2 linked regions of the Callithrix jacchus genome follow. The protein of the gene in region 2 interacts with the protein of the main gene of each other region in a pairwise test. Links are inferred from orthologs where the notes say so. Each region holds a gene or a part of one and is shown on either strand. Other genes may lie near its edges.

Region 1 (10,265 bases), on a different chromosome or scaffold from region 2:
CTCAAGGACCTGGTGTCCAGGACTGCAGGCCCCTGAAGCCAGGCCTTGTCAGCTTTGCACCCTGCAACCGGAGCCTGAGCAGGGGATGGAGGGAGGAGGGGCCAGAACGCCTGGGTTCTGGCCTCCTCCTCCGCGATTCAGGTTTAACCCCTTCGGGCTCCAGCGCGACTGCGCTGGGGTGGGGGCGGAGTCTGTCTCCGCGGCAACAAGGCCGAGAGAATCCCGGAGGACCCGGGTAGCCATAGCAACGGGAGAGCTGGGGCGCCCCCTCCCTACGGGAGCTGTTTCCCAGGGAACGGTGCCTCCATGGAGGCGGGTGTGCGGTGCTTGGGGGAGGTGGCTGGTGCTGGAGGTCTCGGTCCTAGGGAGCAAAGAACCAGAGGACCCTCTTACCAACGTCCCCCGGGCCCTCACTGTCCCCTCCACTTCCATCCAGGCCCCGGGGTCGGCCCAGGTGGCCGGACTATGCGGACGCCCAACCCTTCACCGGGACCTGCGCACCGGCCGCTGGGAACCAGACCCACAGCGTTCTCGACGCTGTCTCCGGGACCCGCAGCGCGTGCTGGAGTACTGCAGACAGGTGGGCGGGGCTGAGCGGGAGGAGCAGGGCTATCGGAAAGCGGGCCCCAAACGGGGCGGGGCCGCCTATAGAAAGCTAGACTTGCAAAAGGCGTGGTCCAAGGTGCTGCACGATCTAAGGCGTGGAGGCTGGGGGGCGTGGCCAATAGAGGCTCAGCTACGCCAGGGCAGGGAACCTGTTTTGAGATACTAAGTCAGGAAAGGAGGAGAACCGCGAGATGGCTAGAGAAGTGGGGTTTAGCAATCTGGTGGTCTTCGTAAAGAGTAGAGGTGTAGGGCGGAGTGGCGAAAGGAGTGGCGGAGCTAAGAGAAAGAGTCCTTAAAGATCAACAAGAAGGGGAAAGAAAAGAGGTGGAGCCCAATGAGAGCGCGGAGAGCTGGGAGGCGTGGCCATGAAAAGCCTCGACTTTGTAAAGGGAAGAGTTTTGGAGAGGCGGAACAGATAAAAAGAGGGGCCCAAAAGAGGGTGAGACCTTTGGGGGAGACGAACCTGACTGCGGGGAGGAGTGACCAGAGAGGTGGGCTTAGATCGACCTTCGGAAAGAAACAGCACAGGAAAAGGGATGGGGCTTAAAGATGACGGGACTTTCAAGGGAAAACTGCTAGTGGGCGTGGCCAATGGGCACGAGGGGCTTGGCTATCTAAGGCTGGTGCTATGGAGAGGCAGGGCCTAGGGAGGCGAAGTTCTCATGAATATTATAGCCTTGAAAAGGGACCTGGCCAGGCGCGGTGGCTCACTCCTGTAATCGCAGCGCTTTGGAAGGCTGAGGCGGGCGGATCACCTGAGGTCAGGAGTTTGAGAACAGCCTGGCCAACATGGAGAAAACTCATCTCTACTAAAAATGCAAAAATTTGCCGGGCATGGTGGTGCTTGCCTGTAATCCCAGCTACGCCGGAGGCTGAGGCAGGAGAATCGCTTGAACCTGGGAGGTGGAAGTTGCAGTGAGCCGAGATCACACCATTGCACTCCAACCTGGGTGACAAAAGCAAAAACTCCCTCTCAAAAAAAAAAAAAAAGGACCTGGCCAGTGGAGAGGGGTGCCTGGCAGGGGCGGGGCAGGGGGCTGATTGTTCCCACCTGATCCCCCCAGATGTACCCGGAGCTGCAGATTGCACGTGTGGAGCAGGCTACTCAGGCCATTCCCATGGAGCACTGGTGCGGGGGTGCCCGGAGCGGCCACTGCGCCCACCCCCACCACCAGGTTGTACCCTTCCGCTGCCTGCGTGAGTCCATGTGGCTAGGGGTTGGGGTGGGCCGGGGTACACTGAGATGGGAGTTTCCGAGAGGCTAGGTTCTGAGCCCCTCTCTCAGGCCCACATTAAGGGGCTGGGTGCTTGTGTCCTAAGTGGGGCAGAGAAGCCTCTGAGTATAAAATTTCTGGATTCTGAGGAGGGTGGGGTTGGTGGCTGTGGGAGGGTCTCACCCTGGTGTGTCATGCTTCCAGCTGGTGAATTTGTGAGCGAGGCTCTGCTGGTGCCCGAAGGCTGCCGGTTCTTGCACCAGGAGCGCATGGACGAATGTGAGAGTTCAACACGGAGGCATCAGGAGGCACAGGAGGTCAGGACCTTGGCCCACCCATCCCCTCCCCGCTAGAACCCAGAAGCCCGGGCCCCTAACACCCTCCTCCACCAGAACCAAGGAGTCTGGGCCACCAGCATCCTCTTCCCACTGGGATCTAGGAATTTCATCCCCTCAACCCCTTCCTCCAGAACCAGGAATCCAGGCTCCCAGCCTCATCGACCCCCTAGATCCAGGCAGCCTGGCTCCCCATCTACACACCCCATACCCCACAATCCTGGCATCTGGGCCCACTCTTCCCACAGGCCTGCAGCTCCCAGGGCCTCATCCTGCATGGCTCAGGTATGCTTTTGCCCTGTGGCTCGGATCGGTTCCGTGGTGTGGAATATGTGTGCTGTCCCCCTCCAGGGACCCCTGACCCATCTGGGACAGCAGTTGGGTGAGTGGAAGGGACCCTCCATGCCCTTCCCAAGGTTCCTGAGGAAGGGGATGGCAGTCTGGGAGCCTGGGCCTGAGTTCTTACTGTCTGGGTCCTCTCCTGCTCCCTCAGTGACCCCTCTACCCGGTCCTGGCCCCCGGGGGGCAAAGCAGAGGGGGCTGAGGATGAGGAAGAGGAGGAATCCTTCCCACAGCCAGTAGATGATTACTTCGTGGAGCCTCCGCAGGCTGAAGAGGAAGAGGAGGAGGAAAGGGTGCCACCCCCAAGCTCCCATACCCTTGCAGTGGTCAGCAAAGGTGAGACAGTCTCTGAATCCCCAGGCTTTTCTGCCATGGAGGGAGAAAGATCTGGCAGAGTCTTGCTGGGGCGTGTCTTTGGGAGGGACCTATGGGGGAAAAACCCAACTGAGGGGAAAAGATGGGAGTAGCTTTGGATAAAACAGAGGAAGAAGGGCTAACCTGGGCGTACTTGGGAGTAGAGGGGCCATTGGGTAGGTCCTGAGGATCATTTCAGGAAAGCTTACAAGATGGTGTAAAAGATTCCTAAGCTTTGCAAGAACAGGCCCAGTCCAGAACTACATCTCCCAAACGCCAGGCAGCAGCAGTGGCCAAACTGGACACATGATGGTCTTCGGTGCACTCCAGGAAACGTGGTTCTAGGTAGAAAAGGTGACCTGGAGGTGGGCAGCAGACTGACCTCCTGATCCCTGGTCTTGTAGTCACTCCCACCCCGAGGCCCACAGACGGTGTGGATATTTACTTCGGCATGCCTGGGGAAATCAGCGAGCACGAGGGGTTCCTGAGGGCCAAGATGGACCTGGAGGAGCGTAGGATGCGCCAGATTAATGAGGTGATGATACCGGGGGACCCAGGACCCGCTACAGTACAGAGCTCCCTAAATATCAGGAAACTATTCCAGAACACATTGATAGCACTTGCAAAGGCTCCCTAAGCCCCTTCGACTGTGAGCCCTCAACATCACCCCCTAACATAGCCAGAAACCCATGGCCCATCTAGAATCCCACTGAGATGCCATCAGATTATATGGAGACTCTGGTCTATGGCACTCTTTCACTTTATTTTTTGTTTTGTTTTTGTTTTTTGAGTTGGAGTTTCACTCTTGTTGCCCAAGCTGGAGTGCAATGGCATGATCTCGGCTCACTGCAACCTTTGCCTCCTGGGTTCAAGTGATTCTCCTGCCTCAGCCTCCCAAGTAGCTGGGACTACAGGCGCCCACCACCATGCCCAGCTAGTTTTTGTATTTTTAGTAGAGACGGGGTTTCGCCATGTTGGCCAGGCTGGTTTTAAACTCCTGACTTCAGGAGATCCATCTGTCTTGGATGGGTCTCCCAAAGTGCTGGGATTACAGGCATGAGCCACCATGCCCAGCCTCTCTTTCACTTTAAACTCCTAGATCTTCCCTCTTGGGAACCCAAGAACAGTGAGACTTAAGGGATCTGGGGCCTCTAAAACTCTTCAAGAGGGGTTGGGGAACTCACCAGGTGGATCAGTGTGGATTCTGGGATCCTGAAGCCCCACTCCCCACGCAGGTGATGCGTGAATGGGCCATGGCCGACAACCAGTCCAAGAACCTACCTAAAGCTGACAGACAGGCCCTGAATGAGGTAGGACAACCCCAGGGGCTCCTACTCATGACTGTCCCCCACCTGGAGCACGCTCAGCTTCACGTGGTTCTGGCCATGCCCTGCCCATCCAGTTCCACCCCTTCCCACTTATCTCTGCCCTTCCTGGCCCCATGCCTACATGTGGCTCTGCCCCTCTTAAGCCACCATCTGACCTGACACTGCTCTCCTCCTCCAATTGGCCATGTTTGGCCCATCTGCACTTGACTTGCCTCTTGGGGCGGGCTCTGGAGTCCTGTCCCAAGCTGGGGCCCCTGCAGATACAGCCAGAGCCTTCTTGGTCTCTCTTTGATGTATTCATGTCTCTAACAGGCCCCACCCCTTCTGGCTCTGCCTACTTGTCTCACCTCTCTCAACCTGACCTACCCCATAGAGACCCCACTCATGTTAACCCCATTAGCTTTTGGTTCCACCCCATTGTGTCATTTAGGTACAGCCTGTCTACATGGGGCTCTGCCCTCTTAAGCCACCATCTGACCTGACACTGCTCTCCTCCTCCAATTGACCCTGACCAGCCCGGAGCCCTGCAAGGCTTTGTCCCTTTCACCTTAACATTGGCCAGTTCTGCTCCCAGATTGTTCCCACTCCATCTTACAGTTTACACCCTCAGATTGGCTCCCACTGGGCCTAGTCCCACCTCCACTCTACCTGGCCCTGGAGCCTACCTCTTCCAATCCGTACCCTTTGGTTCTGCCCAGGCCTGGACCCCTGGAACGACCCCCAACCCCATGTAACCCTGCCTTTCCAGGCTGTCTTTGACCAGCCTTTGATCCATCTTCTCCTCTCCTTACCCTGTGCCCTACCTGCTCCCCAGCACTTCCAGTCCATTCTGCAGACCCTGGAGGAGCAGGTGTCTGGTGAGCGACAGCGCCTGGTGGAGACTCATGCCACCCGTGTCATCGCCCTTATCAACGACCAGCGGCGGGCCGCCTTGGAGGGCTTCCTGGCAGCCCTGCAGGGAGATCCGCCTCAGGTGTGGGGACCGTGGGGGCAGAGAGCAGAGGGTGAGAAGGGTGAGGGCAGACCTGGGCAGCCTGTGTCCCTTCCTCAGGCGGAGCGCGTCCTGATGGCCCTGCGGCGCTACCTGCGTGCGGAACAGAAGGAGCAGAGGCACACGCTGCGCCACTACCAGCACGTGGCGGCCGTGGATCCAGAGAAGGCGCAGCAGATGCGCTTCCAGGTGCTCACATCCTTCCAGCTCCCGCACACGCAGCTATCCTCAGACCCCAGCACCTCAGGCTCTCTGCTTTTGTCCCTCAGACCCTCTTTCTGTCTCTTGGACCCCTTCCTATCCCCTGAATGTCACTTCTCTGCCTCTTCCCAGTCCCTCAGCTCTGCTTCCTGACCCCGAAACATGGCCCCTGACATGCTGTGCCTTTGACCCCTATTTCTTGTCGGCTGGATTCCTACTTTCCCCTTGATCCTACATTCTGTTCCTTGGATTTTCACTGCCTTTCCCAGAATCCTTTTTTTTGTTGTTATTGTTTGAGGCAGGGTCTCACTCTGTTGCCCGGGCTGGAGTGTAGTTCGCGATCTCTGTTCACTGCAACCTTCGCCTCTTAGGTTCAAGCAATTCTCCTGCTTCAGCCTCCCGAGTAGCTGGGATTGCAGGTGCTCACCACCACACCCAGCTAACTTTTGTATTGGGTTGGTGCAAAAGTTATTGCAGTTTTTGCTATTGAAAGTAATAGCAAAAACGGCAATAACTTTTTTTTTTTTTTTGAGACAGTCTCACTCTGTTGCCCAGGCTGGAATGCAATGGCTCAATCTCTGCTCACCTCAGCCTCTGCCTCTCGGGTTCAAGCAATTCTCCTGCCTCAGCCTCTCCAGTAGCTGAGATTACAAGAGCCCACTACCACACCCAGCTAATTTTTTTTTTGTTTTGAGACAAAGTCTTGCTGTGTTGCCCAGGCTGGAGTTCAGTGGTGGGATCTCAGCTCACTGCAACCTCCACCTCCCAGGTTCAAGTGATTCTCCTGCCTCAGCCTCCTGAGTAGCTGAGATTACAGGAGCATGCCACCACATCTGGCTGAGTTTTGTATTTTTAGTAGAACGGGGTTTCACCATGTTGGCCATGTTGGTCTCGAACCTGACCTCAGGTGATCCACCCTTAGCCTCCCAAAGTGCTAGGATTACAGGCATGAGCCACCACGCCTGGCCAGAAACCACAATAATTTCCAATCCAATATACTTAGTAGAGACAAGGTTTTGCCATGTTGCTCAGGCTGGTCTTGAACTCCTGTCTTACAGGTGATCCCACTGCCTCTGCCTCCCAAAGTGCTGGGATTACAGGCGTGAGCTACCGTGCCCAGCCAAGAATCCCTTTCTTGTTCCTTGAAGGAACTGTTCCTTGGTCTCCTTTCTCCATAACCCCACTTGTTTTCCCTGGGACCCCTGTTCTGTGTGCTCAGATTCAAATTCCCCTTTTCTGGATGTTTTCTTGCTCTTGAACTGCAAATCTTGCCTTGAACCACATAATTTCTATATGACCCTCCAATCCTCAATCCCTGTCTCTAGAATCCCCTCAAACCCCACTTTCTGTTCCTTGGACTTCATTCTTCAATTTCCTTCTCCTATGGCCCATTTCCTGACCCTGGTACCATACTTCCTGTCCTGTGGGGAATGCTCCCGTGTGAGACCCCTAGTAAATTGGGTCTCACCATGCGGTGAGTTTGAGCCCAGACACAGAGTCTCCAGTTGGAGGAAGTCGAGCTAAGGAAAGCAGGATCTAAAAGAGGCTTTAGGTTAAAGATCAACTACCGCAGACAATCACTAGATGGCCATGCAGTCTTGAGGTGCACCGTGACCTAATGGTTAGCAGTCATGTAGCAGTATGTTCACTTTTACAAGCATATTCTTCTTTGTTCTGTCAAGACAGTAGTGACTGACTGTAATAGTTTAAAAGAACCTTCTGTGTAGTGAGATAATGAATCTGATCGTTTATTAAGTAGATAACAAGACCCACCTGCTGGATTCCATTGTGTATCTGATCTTTCTACTGTAACCACCTGATTTATGTTGTAACTTGTAGTTTCACTGTAAAACTTTCTGTTCCCCTTGATCTCACGGAACAATGTATCTTTATCTTCCATGCACCCCGCTATCCAGGTTGGACCCTCTTGCTGGACAAGAGTTCCTGGCAGACGTGCCCCCCAAACATGGAAGATAAAGATGATAGACAGCCAGGGTCTGGAGGGTTGAGAAGTCAATGCTTCACCAACAACTTTATTTAGCTCAGGGTCAGTGTATATACATTCTTGAAACTTTGCTTACGTCAGTTCAATACATTGTTCCGTGAGATCAAGGGGAACAGAAAGTTTTACAGTGAAACTACAAGTTACAACATAAATCAGGTGGTTACAGTAGAAAGATCAGATACACAATGGAATCCAGCAGGTGGGTCTTGTTATCTACTTAATAAACGATCAGATTCATTATCTCGCTACACAGAAGTTTCTTTTAAACTATTACAGTCAGTCACTACTGTCTTGACAGAACAAAGAAGAATATGCTTGTAAAAGTGAACATACTGCTACACATGACTGCTAACCATTAGGTCACGGTGCACCTCAAGACTGCATGGCCATCTAGTGATTGTCTGCGGTAGTTGATCTTTAACCTAAAGCCTCTTTTAGATCCTGCTTTCCTTAGCTCGACTTCCTTCAACTGGAGACTCTTGTGTCTAGGCTCAAACTCACCACATGGTGAGACCCAATTTACTAGGGGTCTCACACGGGAGCGTTCCCCACACTGTCCCTTACATGTGATGCTTTTCCTCTGCTGCCATTGAATTCCTCCTTCATACTGCCTCAGTTTCCTCATCTCCAGCCTGCATCCCCAGCTCATCCTTCATGTCCACTCGCCCACAGGTGCAGACCCACCTTCAAGTGATTGAGGAGAGGGTGAATCAGAGCCTGGGCCTGCTTGATCAGCACCCCCACCTGGCTCAGGAGCTGCGGCCCCAGATCCGTGAGTGCCTATTATCCAGCCCCCATTCCCGATCTCTGAGGGCAGATCTTGATTCCTAAGTGTGGATCCCCCAGTTTCAGTTATTCCCCTGTAACAAACCAGCCCAGAACTTAGGAGAGAAAATCAACAACCATTTTTCTTTGTTCATGATTCTGCCAGTGGTCTGGGCTCAGTAGAGTGGTTCTTCTGGTGGTCTTGCCAGTGGTAAAGCATGCGGCTGTATTTAGCTAGCAGATCGTCTAGGGGCTGGGAGTCTAGCACAAATGGGCCTCTCTCTCTCTCCAAGGAGGCTCGGGGCCTCTCTTCTCCATGGAGCCTCTTCATATGGTCTCACCAGCAGCACAGCTGGAATTTCTACGTGGTGGTTCATGCTCTCTAAGACATCAAAGGGGAAGTTGCCAGGTCTTAAGGCTTGGGCCCACATTCTATTGGTTAAAGCAAGTTAAAAACCCAGTCCAGATTCAAGGGAAGGAACCTATATTCATACCAGAAAGTATGACCTACCACAGCCCCCAGATCTGTTGTGGTTTCCTCCTGGATATCTGACACATAACCCTGATTCTCCTAGTATTTAGAAAAGCTATAATCTTGAGCTGGGCATGGTGCTCCTGCCTATAATCCCAGCACTTTAGGAGGCCGAGGCAGGTGGATCACTTGAGGTTAGGAATTCGAGACCAGCCTGGCCAACGTGGTGAAACCCCCATCTCTACTAAAAATACAAAAAATAGCCAGGCATGGTGGCAGGCACCTGCAGTCCCAGCTACTCAGGAGGCTGAGGCAGGAGAATTGCTGGAACCCGGGAGGCAGAGGTTGCAGTGAGCTGAGATCACGCCATTGCACACCAGCCTGGGCAACAAGAACAAAACTCTGTCTCAAAAAAAAAAAAAGCTAGCCATAATCTTGAAACTTCAACCTCTATCCTTCCTGCCTGCTGTGCCTCCATTCAGCTCCCCACTTTCTCAGATCGCACTTCTGGCTACCCCACACTCGGGGCTGACTCTGCTGTCTGCATGATCTCCAAATTGCTCTATTGTTAGGGTGCCCTTCACTCACCCCAGTGCTCACAATCTCTGCCACCTTTCTGCATGTCCCCCTCAGAGGAACTCCTCCACTCTGAACACCTGGGTCCCAGTGAATTGGAAGCCCCTGCCCCTGGGGGCAGCAGTGAGGACAAGGGTGGGCTGCAGCCTCCAGATTCCAAGGATGGTGAGTGAGCCTTCACATAGATGCCCGCAGACATTGGGGAACAGGCCCCCAGCCTAATTTCTAATCCCCTACAGTCTGAGGGTGTCTTCACCATCACAGTGACTGGGAGAGGATGGGGAGGAACATCTATGGTTGTAGGGCCCCTGTAGGATTCCCAATCCTTCTTTTTGGTCCTGGGAGGATATTTCTCCACCTTTCTTTGCTGATACCTTTCTCTCTTCACTGTTCCACTGCCTTGCTTCCTCTGGCTGCCAGCAGACACCCCCATGACCCTTCCAAAAGGTGAGAGTCTCAGAGTTGACCCCAGCCTCCAAATCCCACTGAATCCCTGAACCCAGAATGGAACAGGATCCATCCACTGGGAATCCCACACCCCCTGGGGTAGAGTCCAGTGTACTTTCCAACACCCTCTCACTATAAACATAGTGAGATACTGTATCTACAAATAATTTAAAAGTTACCTGGGTGTGGTGGGGCATGTCTGTAGTCCCAGCTGCTCAGGAGGCTGACTTAGAAGGATCACTGGAGCCCAGGCAGTTGAGGCTCCAGTGAGCTGAGCTTGCGCCACTGCACTCCAGCCTGGGTGGCAGAGTGAGACTCTGTCTCAAAAAAGAAAAAAAAAAAGAATGAGATCAGACTGTGGGGGGTAGGGTCCACAGAACAAGATGCTGCATCCCCTGGGAAAGAGAATATGTCCCCGCTGGAACAGTATGAGCGAAAGGTAAGTTAGTCAGACCTGTGGGCTCCCAAAGGGGAAGATTGGGGTGTATGCGGCTGGGTCCGAGGGAGGAGATGCTGGGGGCTTGGGTTCCTTGTCCTGAGGGAAGAGGGAGCTGAGGACATGCACTTTGAGATGCTAGAAAATGAGAAGGATAGAGGATGCCCTCTTGGGCCCCTGGGGAGGAGGAGGC
Region 2 (10,265 bases):
CCCATGCTGGAGTGTAGATACATGATCTCGACTCACAGCAACCTCTACCTCCTGAGTTCAAGCAATTCTTTTTTTTTTTTTTGAGTTCAAGCAATTCTCCTGCCTCAGCCTCCTGAGTGGCTGGGATCACAGGCATGCACCAGCACACCTGGCTAATTTTTGTTTTATTTATTTATTTATTTATGAGAAGGGGTTTCACCATGTTGGCTAGGATGGTCTTGATCTCTTGACCTCGTGATCTGCCCGCCTTGGCCTCCCAAAGTGCGGGGATTATAGGCATGAGCCACTGTGCGCAGCCCAATTTTTTTATTTTTAGTAGATGGGGTTTTACATGTTGGCCAGGCTGGTCTGTTATTTCCGACCTCAGGTGATCCACCTGCCTTGGCCTCCCAAATTGGTGGGATTACATCCTTGATCTTGTTGCTCTGAAAAGTAGTAGTGCTGGTTGTTGTGTTTTTGCTTAGGGGAAGGCCACCAACTGTCTAATGTTTGGTTACCTCTGGCCAGGCATTCTGTCTGTTCTCACTCAGCACAGTGTGTCCAGGGGAAGCTTTGTTTTCATTTATCCAGCTTTATAACTGGTATGCCTTGTCACTTCTGGGGAAGAAATGAAGCCGTTATCACTTCAGGTGTTTCTCTCCTTATCCCTCTCTGAGGTATTCTGGGTTCCATCTTCCAAAGTGTGTTTTGTTTCAATGACTTTATACCTGCTGCTCTAATTCAGAATCCTCCATTTTGTTTGACAAGTTACCGTGGGGTTATGTTTAAGTTTATGCTGTTCCTTCCATTGTGTTTCCAAAAATCTTTCCTTAGACTTTTCCAGATTTTTCTGTTTCCTCAGAACACATTCTCCGGTTGTTTCTGGGTTAGTTTCTGTTATCTTAGTTTTCCTTCCTCTACTTTGGAGTTTTTTAAAATTGTTGTTAGTTTATCACAAATGAATCAAACTGAAACTCACTTCCCAAGGGACTTAGCAGACTTAACCCCTTAGGTACTTTTAGGGCTGCCTCTAAGTGTACAGTGTGATGGTTTAATATAAACACAATAGGAATTTGTTTCTTGCTTACAGACCCCTACATGGTTCCAGCTGATGGGGAGGCTGCCCAGAGGTGGCTTAGTTCGCCCTTGCTGGCTGCATACAGAAGCGGAAGAGGAGAGACATGGCGGAGCCCCTGGGTGTGATGTTTTCATGGGCCAGGCTAGAAGTTGCAAATGTCACCTCTGCTGATCTTTCAAAGATTAGAATCTGGGCATAGGGCACAGGGTCACCTTTAGGTTTAGTCTAGTACACCTAGTCTAGTTTTTTTTTTTTTTTTGAAACAGTCTTGCTTTGTGGCCCAGGCTGGAGTGCAGTGGCACGATCTCAGCTCACTACAACCTCTGCCTCCCAGGTTCAAGTGATTCTCCCACCTCAGCCTCCCAAGTAGCTGGGATTACAGGCTCCTGCCACTACGCGCAGCTATTTTTTTGTATTTTTAGTAGAGATGGGGTTTTGCTGTTTGGGCAGCCTGGTCTTGAATTCCTGACCTCAGGTGATACGCTTGCCTTGGCCTCCCAAAGTGCTAGGATTATAGGCGGGAGCCACCGCGCCTGGCCACACTTAGTCTATTTTTATACCCTTGACTGTATACTTAGTCTAGTTCTATACCTGGAGGAAGAATAAATGGGTTTGTTTGCTGAGCGGTGGTTCAAGATCTCTACCCATCCTGCCTCCCAGCATAGAGCCAGGCTGCTCCGGCTGGAAAACCCTGTCCGAACATCCCAGGGACTGTCCCCCCAGCTGGGCAGTCCTGTGTTCCTGGTTCTGCTCTTGCCCAGCATTCTCTAAATGTCACAGCCCCAAATTTCATTCTCATGGGGAGGCTGACTGGTCCCTTACCCTGTGGAGTTGGACTCCAAGCTGTCGGTGTCCGCTGTGGGTTCCAGATCACCCAGTAGCTGACAACTGCTCCCCGCTTGGGTGTGCCCATTCCATTTCTGACCTTCAGAGGTGCGCTTCTGGGCACCCCCATACCTCTGCATCCACAGAGATGTTGTTGCCGCCGTGTGGTTGAGAGACTCCAGGCGAGAAGGTGGGCCCAGGCTGGGAACAGGGCTGCAATTTTTTTCTTTTGCTCCCAAACTGTGGCCTTGGAATGCATCCAGGGATTCTGCATCAGCTTTGGGGGCATGGCCCTCTCAGAACAAGGAAGAGCAAGGAAGCTTTAGCTTTGGCGAGGCTCTCCCTGCCTTCAGACCTGCCACTGTGAGTTGCTCAAGAGCTCTGCTCTGGCTCTGCATAAACCTTGTTGACAGATGCTGACCCAGACCCCCCCCAGGCAGAAACCTTTCCCTTCTCCTTCCTCCTTCCGTAACATCCAGGAGCCAGCATATTAAGTCCTGTCCCGTTCCAGCCTGAAGGAGAGATTTCTCAGTCTACTTCCTCCCTGGCCCACAAGTAAAACTTTAGTTCATTCAGGGAGTGCTTATTACACCCCATATCCAGACATCAGCCTTGTGCCATTCTGTGTGCCCTTGTTCCTTTCTAGAAGTTTAGCATCTTCCCACTGCAAGCATTTCTAGATGGAGGAGAGGGGTTCCTAGTATGGGGACCCACAGAAGGACTGTCCTTCCCTCCTTCATTGTCTACGTGGACAGTGGAAGAAGCCCAGCCTGACCTGCCTTGTTCCTGTTTTCTGGGTCAGCAGGGAAAGCCTTTCATAGAGTAGCCACCATGCCATCCTGAGGAAGGCCCTAGGTCAGAAGCTTCTGTGCTTCTTTGTATGCCGGGTGAGGCACAGTGGCGCTCACACTGCTTTGTAGAAATTGTTGGCATGCAAGAGAGAGTCATGTGGAGACCCCAAAGCCACTAGCTGGGCGTGCTGTGCTTCAGATGCTGGTGGTGGGTGAGCACCCTGGCCCCAGCACCTCCCCGATGCGTTCATCAACAGCTGTACAGTGTCTGGCGGGCCTGCAGGGTTGCTTGGCAATAGTGGAAGCTCTGATTTTTTTAAACTTTTTTTTCTGGCTGGGCACAGTGGCTCACACCTATAATCCTAGCGTTTTCGAAGGCCAAGGCGGGCGGATCACTTGAGGTCAGGAGTTTGAGACCGGCCAGGCCAACATAGTAAAATCCCGTCTCTACTGAAAATACAAAAATTAGCCGGATGTGGTGGCACACACCTATTATTCCAGCTACTTTGGAGGCTGAGGCAAAATCATCACTTGAACCCGGGAGGCAGAGGTTGTGGTGAGCCAAGATCATGCCACTGCACTCCAGCCTGGGTGACAGAGTGACTCTGTCTCAAAAACAAACAAACAAAAAAAACCAAAAAACGGTTTTTTGTGTTTTCTGTTCTACTAACACAAGTAATACAGGTTGAATGTTCCTTATCGTAAATGCCTGGGACCAGAAGTGTTTGGATTTCTGATTTTTTCAGATTTTGGAATATTTGCATATATATAATATAATGAGACCTTGGGAATGAGTCCCAACTGTAAATACAAGATCCGATATGTTTATAGATGCCTTATCCACATAGCCTGGGAGTGATTTTATATGCTATCTGGTAATTTGGGCATGAGCCAGGGTTTTGACTGTGAGCTGTCCCATAAGGTCAGGTGTGAAATTTTCCACTTGTGGTATGCACTCAAAAAGTTTCAGGTTTTGGAGCCTTTTGGATTAGAGACTTCGTAAGTTTAATCTGGAAAAACTTAAGAGTCTGGCACAGTGGCTCATGCCTGTTATGCCAGCACTCTGGGAGGCCGAGGCACGCAAATTGCTTGAGACTAGGAGTTTGAGACCAGCCTGGGCAATATGGTGAAACCCTGCCTCTACCAAAAATACAAAAATTAGCCAGGAGTAGTGGCACATACCTGTAGTCCCAGCTAGTTGGGAGGCTGAGGTGGGAGCATCGGCTGAGCCTGTAGGTCCAGGCTGTGAGTCATGGTTGAGCCACTGCCCTCCAGCCTGGGCAATGGGGAGCAAGACTGGGAGCTGCCTTTTTGTGACATGTGATGAATCCTCAGAGAAAAAGAGAGAACACGTGCATGGTGGGGCAGGGCCCAGCGTGCTGGAGTCTCTGGGTTTTCTTTCTAGAGGCCCCTGCAGTCTGCTGAGCGCAGTCGGTTACATCAGGCTTCACCTGGATCCCACTGGAATTTTTCCAGTTATCCCCTAGTCCTCGCCTTGCTAAGCCCTAATGTCTTAATAACCTCAAACCTCAGTACCTGGGCTGAGGAAAGCCTGAGGGGCTCCTGGAGAGAGACCTGTGCCCAAGGACAGGAACATCCCCACTTCAGCCAACCCAAAGGCCAGTCTGGACATGTGAACTCAACCAGCTAAAAGCAATATGACTGATTGATGAGAATCACCAAAGCACTTGCTAGAGTTTCAGCTTCTCCCTGGGCCAAAGTGAAATTTGATGTAGGCAGTAAATGTGCTCTGTGCCGGCCCTGTATTTAGAAGGCTGTGCTGTGTCATCCTGCTCTGTAAATGGCCAGGAGGACCCCCACACCTTCTCAAGGCACATTACCTGTCTAAAAAGGCGAGGGGGCAAGAGCACAAAATGCCCAGCTACTCACTGAAGTGCATGTGTATAACTTAGTGCCTTCTGTCCTTACACAATAGGACCTTTCTTGCTATCGCTCAGTGAAGAGGAAACAGGTTCAGAGAAGTTAACTCACTGCCAAGGTCACACAGATAATGGTGTCCGCTCGGAATAGCGGTGTCCGAGCCCCAGGCAGCAGATGTCTGGCCCCAGCCTTTGGCCGCTGCAGTGTTAAACAGCACAGCAGGTGTGGAAGTCTGATGCTGAGTCCTGGGTACCTGGACTCGGAGCAGAAGCTGGCTGCAGAGGGAAGAGGCTGGGCAGTTGTGGATGTGCCTGTCATCTGCTGGGAGGGCACCCATGGACAGTCCCCAGCCTGAGGAACCTCATGGAAGAGTTAGAGTTGCTCCAGGCTGAATGGCGGGAGTTGTCTGATCTGGCAGCGTCTCTGCTGGGACTTCAGGGAGCTGCTGCTAGGGTGGAAACTCTCACGCTTTCTCCACCTTCCCTTTCCAGTTCCCTGACATCGTGGAGTTCTGTGAGGCCATGGCCAACGCCGGGAAGACAGTAATTGTGGCTGCACTGGACGGGACCTTCCAGAGGAAGGTAAGGTGTCTGATCCAGGTCTGGAGCGTGATTCCAGGAGGGGAGGGGGCTTCTGGGTGGCCAGGGCCCAGCCACTGTAGGGGCACAGTTGAGCTGCTCAGACCAGTCCTTGCCTGAGCCTAGGGACTCCCTGGTCTATGCAGACCAGGTGCCATCTGTTGCGGCAGGTGGTTTGAATTGGCAAGGAGACAAAGCCAGGCATGGTGCTCTGGGGGTTGGGGGAGGACTGAGGTCAGAGCAAACTTTCCTGGCTTCAGTGCTTATGAATCAAAGGGTTTAAAAGAAAACCCCGCCTGGGAAGGTAGCCGAGCACCCACTGTCTTTCCATGGGAGTGCAGGCATTTGGGACCATCCTGAACCTGGTGCCGCTGGCCGAGAGCGTGGTGAAGCTGACCGCAGTATGCATGGAGTGCTTCCGGGAAGCCGCCTACACCAAGAGGCTTGGCACCGAAAAGGAGGTACCTCCACCTGTCTTCCCTGCGGGCTGGTGGGGTGGGGGCGTGGCTCTGTCTCCTTCCTGTCCCGGCCCTTCACCCATCCCCTGTCCCTGCGGCTAGGTCGAAGTGATTGGAGGAGCAGACAAGTATCACTCTGTGTGTCGCCTCTGCTACTTCAAGAAGGCCTCAGGCCAGCCTGCCGGGCTGGACAACAAAGAGAACTGCCCCGTGCCAGGAAAGCCAGGGGAGGCTGCGGCTGCCAGGAAGCTCTTTGCCCCGCAGCAGATTCTGCAATGTAGCTCCACCAACTGAGGGGCCTGAAAGGGCTGCTCACTCTCTTCCAGCCGCTGCCGCCTAGCGGACACTGCTCTCCACGCTACCTGCCTGCTCCAGGAGGGTGACCACATCTTGGCCTTTGGGAAGTCTCCTTTGTGCAGCTGCCCCACCTGCCACGTGCTCTCTCCTCTCCTGCCCACCGGCCTGCTTAGCTTCCCTCTTGGCTGCTGGGACGGTCGCCCAGGCTGGACCTGGCCCTGCCTGGTGACCTAGGATCTGGCATACTCCCCCTGCTTGGGGTGAGGGACAGCCACACACTGTTGACATCAGCCTGCTTCTTCCCCTCTGGCTTTCACTGCTGAGTTTCTGTTCTCCCTGGGAAGCCTGCACCAGCATCTTTAAGCCTTGGGCCATAGAGGCTTAGGCCCCTCTGCCTGGGATAGGCCCCTGCCCTCCCTGAGGATGGCCTGGACTCATGCCCTCTTGCTTCCTTTTGGGCTCAAAGCCCCTCCTACCTCTGGTGATGGTTTCCACAGGAACGACAGCATCTTTCACATGGGTGGCACCAGCCTTGCTGGGACTTGGATTGTAGGTGCTTGTCTCTTCGTGGGAAGAGGGCAGGGTCAACGTCTCTGCTGTAGTGTATGAAATTAACTAACTTAAAATTCACTGGTTGGTAGACGCTCATTTCTCTTTAAGCTGGGTTTCCCCGGGTCTCATGGACAGTGCCAACTGATGTGGGTGGGGATTTTCTTCCAGGTCTTTGTTTTGTTTTGAGATAGGTTCTCTGTCACCCAGGCTGGAGTACAGTGGTGCAGTCTCGGCTCACTGCAGCCTCTGCTTTCCCAGTTCAAGTGATTCTCCCCACTCAGCCTCCCTAGTAGGCAGGATTACACGTGTGTGCCACCACACCTGGTGAATTTCTGTATTTTCAGTAGAGACGGGGTTTCACCATGTTGACCAAGCTGGTCTTGAACTTCTGATCTCAAGTGATCTGCCTGTCTCAGCTTCCCAAAGTGCTGGTATTACAGGCGTGAGGCACCGGGCCTGGCCCCCAGATCTTTCTGTAGTAATACTGATCTCATAACCACAGCCGGTTAACTGAGAAATGATCGTGGGGCGTGTCCTAAGGGGAACATCATCTGCCTTCCTGTCTGGGCCAGTGTCAGGACAAAAATGGGTGCACAGGGGAGCCCAGGGCCCAGCTGGAAGGAAGGATGGGGGCGCATACCTGCCCGCTGGGACTTCCAGGTCAGTTTTTGTTTGTGAAACACACGCTGGGTAGTTCAGGAATCAAGACACCTCTCAGCTGTGCCTCAGAGATGGGCTGTTGGCAGCTCACTTGGACTCAGGCATTGCTGGGGTGAGGTGTGCCCTAGGCAGGCAGGGTCACCGCTGCCAGGGCCTCCCCAGCCTCCTCCTCCCCTTTGCTAGTGATGTGTCCCAAGCCAAAGCCATCGGGTGAGGTTGGGAGCAGTGCTGTTACTTTGTATTGGGGATTTTTAAACATTCGGGACTTGCCATTGACAACTCTGTCATTGCTCAAAAGAGGAAGCCAGGAGTTGCTTTAGGGCCCTGACCTCTTCCAGAGATGGGTCTTATCTCCAAGGGGCGGCTGGAAGGCCAAGCCCACTCCCTGCTGTGTCCCAGGAAGGGTCCAGAGGTGCTGAGCCCTGGAGGAAGGCAGAAATGTGGCTTACCCATGGTACTCCTCTTTCAGTGCTAAGAAAGGGCTGAGAGGGAAGGGGCATTCAGTGGGCAACTCCCAGGTACCCCCACCCCAACACTAGGAAGGGAACAGCAGGACCCTGGCACCGAAGGCCAGAAAAATCTTGTAAACAAGATGAGCACAGTTGCTATTTTAAGATCTGGATGAAAGGCTTGTGCGGAATGCGACCCCAGATGGAAAGGGGGCCAGCCAGGCAAGCTGGAGGGGGTGTACTGCCACTGCCTTGTGTAAAACACAAGTTTCAGAAAGCCAGCCCTTAAGGGTGTACCCAGAGTGGAGTCCCTTCCTCCGACCCCTAGGCTCTGGCTCAACCAATGGCAATGGAGACTGAGTGAGAAAACATTTATTCCTTCTCCAAACAGCATCCCAGGGCCGGGCGTCACCCCCAAGGCTTTATAATACATTCGGCACAGAGTGGGAGCCATGGGGCATGGGACACCCCTGCCCTCCCCATGCTTCCTAAGTAACAACTGCAGAATATTTACATAAAGCTGGGTGTTGTCAGGCAAAGCCCTTCCCTGCTGCCGGGGTGGGAGCAAGGAGGAAGTGCTGTGGGCACCAGCCCTGCCCCCACACCATGGGGGCCAGAGGCCACTGGCCCAGGGTGGTGGCCCCCAGATCATACAGCAGTAGGCCTAGTGGGAGCAAACCTGAGTGAGGACACAGGAGCCTGGTCCAACCCCGATGCACAGGGTAGGTATAAGGCCCCCCAAGAGTCTTTGGCAGAGAACACAGATAACAGTGGCTCCCACAGCCTGACCTGGGCTGGGGGAAAGCTGAGGCACTGGTAAGTAGCATGTGGGTGCCTGCTGGCTTCTAGCCACTCCAGGCAGGGCTGGGGTCATTAAAAGCAAGGAGAAACACTAGCTAAAAACCCTTTCCTAAAAGTGAGTGACTGACTGAAGCCCTGGGCACAGGCACTTGGGGTGTGGCTCTGCCAGCCCCCCAGGCAGGGAGGTTTCTTAGCTGTGTGTCAGCTGCACAGGATGTGACAGGCAAAGGAGAGGGGCTGGCAGCTCCAGGAGGCTCTTAAGAAAGTTCGGGGCAGAGTCTCTGCCCCGCTTCCCCCCTGACCTCTCAGTACACAGGGGGCGGCTGGTAGCCCTCGGTGCTCTCCACATTCTGGGTGAAGGGTGGCTGTTGGTAGTTGTCCACAGATGCACTTGGGTAGGAGGCATAGGCAGTGCTGGGGTCTGGGGTGGGGTCAACGTAGTTCTGGATGAAGTCATCTACGCCAGCCTTGTAGCGCTGGTAGGCCAGGAAGGCCAGTGCACCCTGCAGGGGGAGCACATGGGTATAGGTGGGTAGGGGACCCCACCTTCCACCACCCTTTACCCAAGACCCCAAGAACCAGCCCCTGGCCTACCTACCCAGGAGAAGATGGAAAAGAAGCTGAAGGTGATGGCCGCCCTCGCAGAGCCGGCCCCCACCAGCACATCCGCCGGGTTGGTGACCGCCCACTGGTTGGTGAGAAAGCAGAAGCCAACAAACCACAGGAAGGTCCAGAGAGCTGGGGAGGACGGGTAGGGCGTCAGTTCCACAGAAGGGGAGGGGCTTTCTAGGACTCTGGGAGGGGACACTGGCAGGTAGGGCAGGGCCTAGGCAGGAACCTTAGGGGTGCCTCCACAACATAGAGGGGAGGATTTGGAAGCACAGCTGGGATCCACCTCCAAAGCCCTCCTGTACTGGGGCCTCAGCACAGTGGGTCCCAGCAGACAGACCAGAGGACAAACAGGGAAGAGGCAAAGCCCATCTGTTTGGGTGTGCTGGGGCTCCACTCAGCTTCTAGCTACTGCAGGCAGGGCTGGGCTATTCAAGCGAGGAGAAACACTAGCTGGAAACCCTTTCCTCAAAATGCCCTGGGTGAGCTGCTCCCTGTCCCTCCCAGAGAGGCCAAGCCCCCACTCCAGGGAGCCTCAGAGTTAATGCCTCCCCGTCCTAGTCACCTCCCAAGATCAGATGGAGGTGCTACAGGCAGATACCTGAGAAGAGCAGGTCACCAATGACCAGGTACTTGCGGTCAGTGGCGCTGCTGATCTGGGGGAAATACACATCGACCACCAAGAAGAAGGCCGAGGCCAGGAAGGCCAGCACCCCGATGGCACTGCCGTAGCGGCAGGCATCCTCGTTGTGGTTAAACACACAGTACATCTGCTTAGACTCGTGGGTGTTGCTGTAGCCCTCGCCATAGATGCAGGAGAACACGATCAAGGCGAAGACCTGCAGGAGGGGAGGATCCGTTAGGGCTGGGGGCACACACGGCGGGGACCCTGACGGGGTGTTCAGACGCTGGCCTCCCACCACTGCTGTCCCCTTTTGGTTTTTCTGAGATGGAGTCTCCCTCTTGTTGCCCATGCTGGAGTGTGATGGTGTGATTTTGGCTCACTGCAATCTCCACCTCCTGGGTTCAAGCAGTTCTGCCTCAGCCTCCAGAGTAGCTGGGATTATAGATGCCCACCACCATGCCTTTTTTTTTTTTTTTTTTTTTTTGAGACGGAGTTTCACTCTTGTTGCCCAGTTTGGAGTGCATGGCATGATCTCGGCTCACTGCAACCTCTGTCTCCCAGGTTCAAGCAATGTTCCTCCCTTAGCCTCCCAAGTAGCTGGGAATACAGCCATGTGCCACCACGCCAAGCTAATTTTGTATTTTTGGTAAAGATGGCGTTTTACCATGTTGGTCAGGCTGGT

The links. The genes of interacting proteins can lie anywhere in the genome.
Region 1: the proteins of TK1 (region 2) and APLP1 interact in a two-hybrid assay, tested with the Homo sapiens proteins (2 studies listed by BioGRID and IntAct). The link is inferred for Callithrix jacchus from reciprocal best matches to the Homo sapiens genes TK1 and APLP1.

The regions. Positions count from the first base shown.
Region 1 is NC_133523.1:32,051,944-32,062,208, forward strand, and holds part of APLP1 (amyloid beta precursor like protein 1), read left to right. Parts: intron 1-436; coding exon 437-580; intron 581-1,670; coding exon 1,671-1,803; intron 1,804-2,024; coding exon 2,025-2,137; intron 2,138-2,403; coding exon 2,404-2,537; intron 2,538-2,648; coding exon 2,649-2,833; intron 2,834-3,255; coding exon 3,256-3,386; intron 3,387-4,086; coding exon 4,087-4,161; intron 4,162-4,993; coding exon 4,994-5,152; intron 5,153-5,230; coding exon 5,231-5,359; intron 5,360-8,048; coding exon 8,049-8,148; intron 8,149-9,246; coding exon 9,247-9,354; intron 9,355-9,609; coding exon 9,610-9,636; intron 9,637-10,004; coding exon 10,005-10,075; intron 10,076-10,265. UniProt on the Homo sapiens protein: May play a role in postsynaptic function. The C-terminal gamma-secretase processed fragment, ALID1, activates transcription activation through APBB1 (Fe65) binding. Couples to JIP signal transduction through C-terminal binding.
Region 2 is NC_133506.1:133,954,669-133,964,933, reverse strand, and holds the end of TK1 (thymidine kinase, cytosolic), read left to right. Parts: intron 1-5,045; coding exon 5,046-5,135; intron 5,136-5,473; coding exon 5,474-5,593; intron 5,594-5,692; coding exon 5,693-5,884; 3' UTR 5,885-6,517; downstream 6,518-10,265. Other genes in the region: SYNGR2 (synaptogyrin-2), read right to left, coding at 8,655-8,852, 8,948-9,087, 9,560-9,797. UniProt on the Homo sapiens protein: Cell-cycle-regulated enzyme of importance in nucleotide metabolism. Catalyzes the first enzymatic step in the salvage pathway converting thymidine into thymidine monophosphate.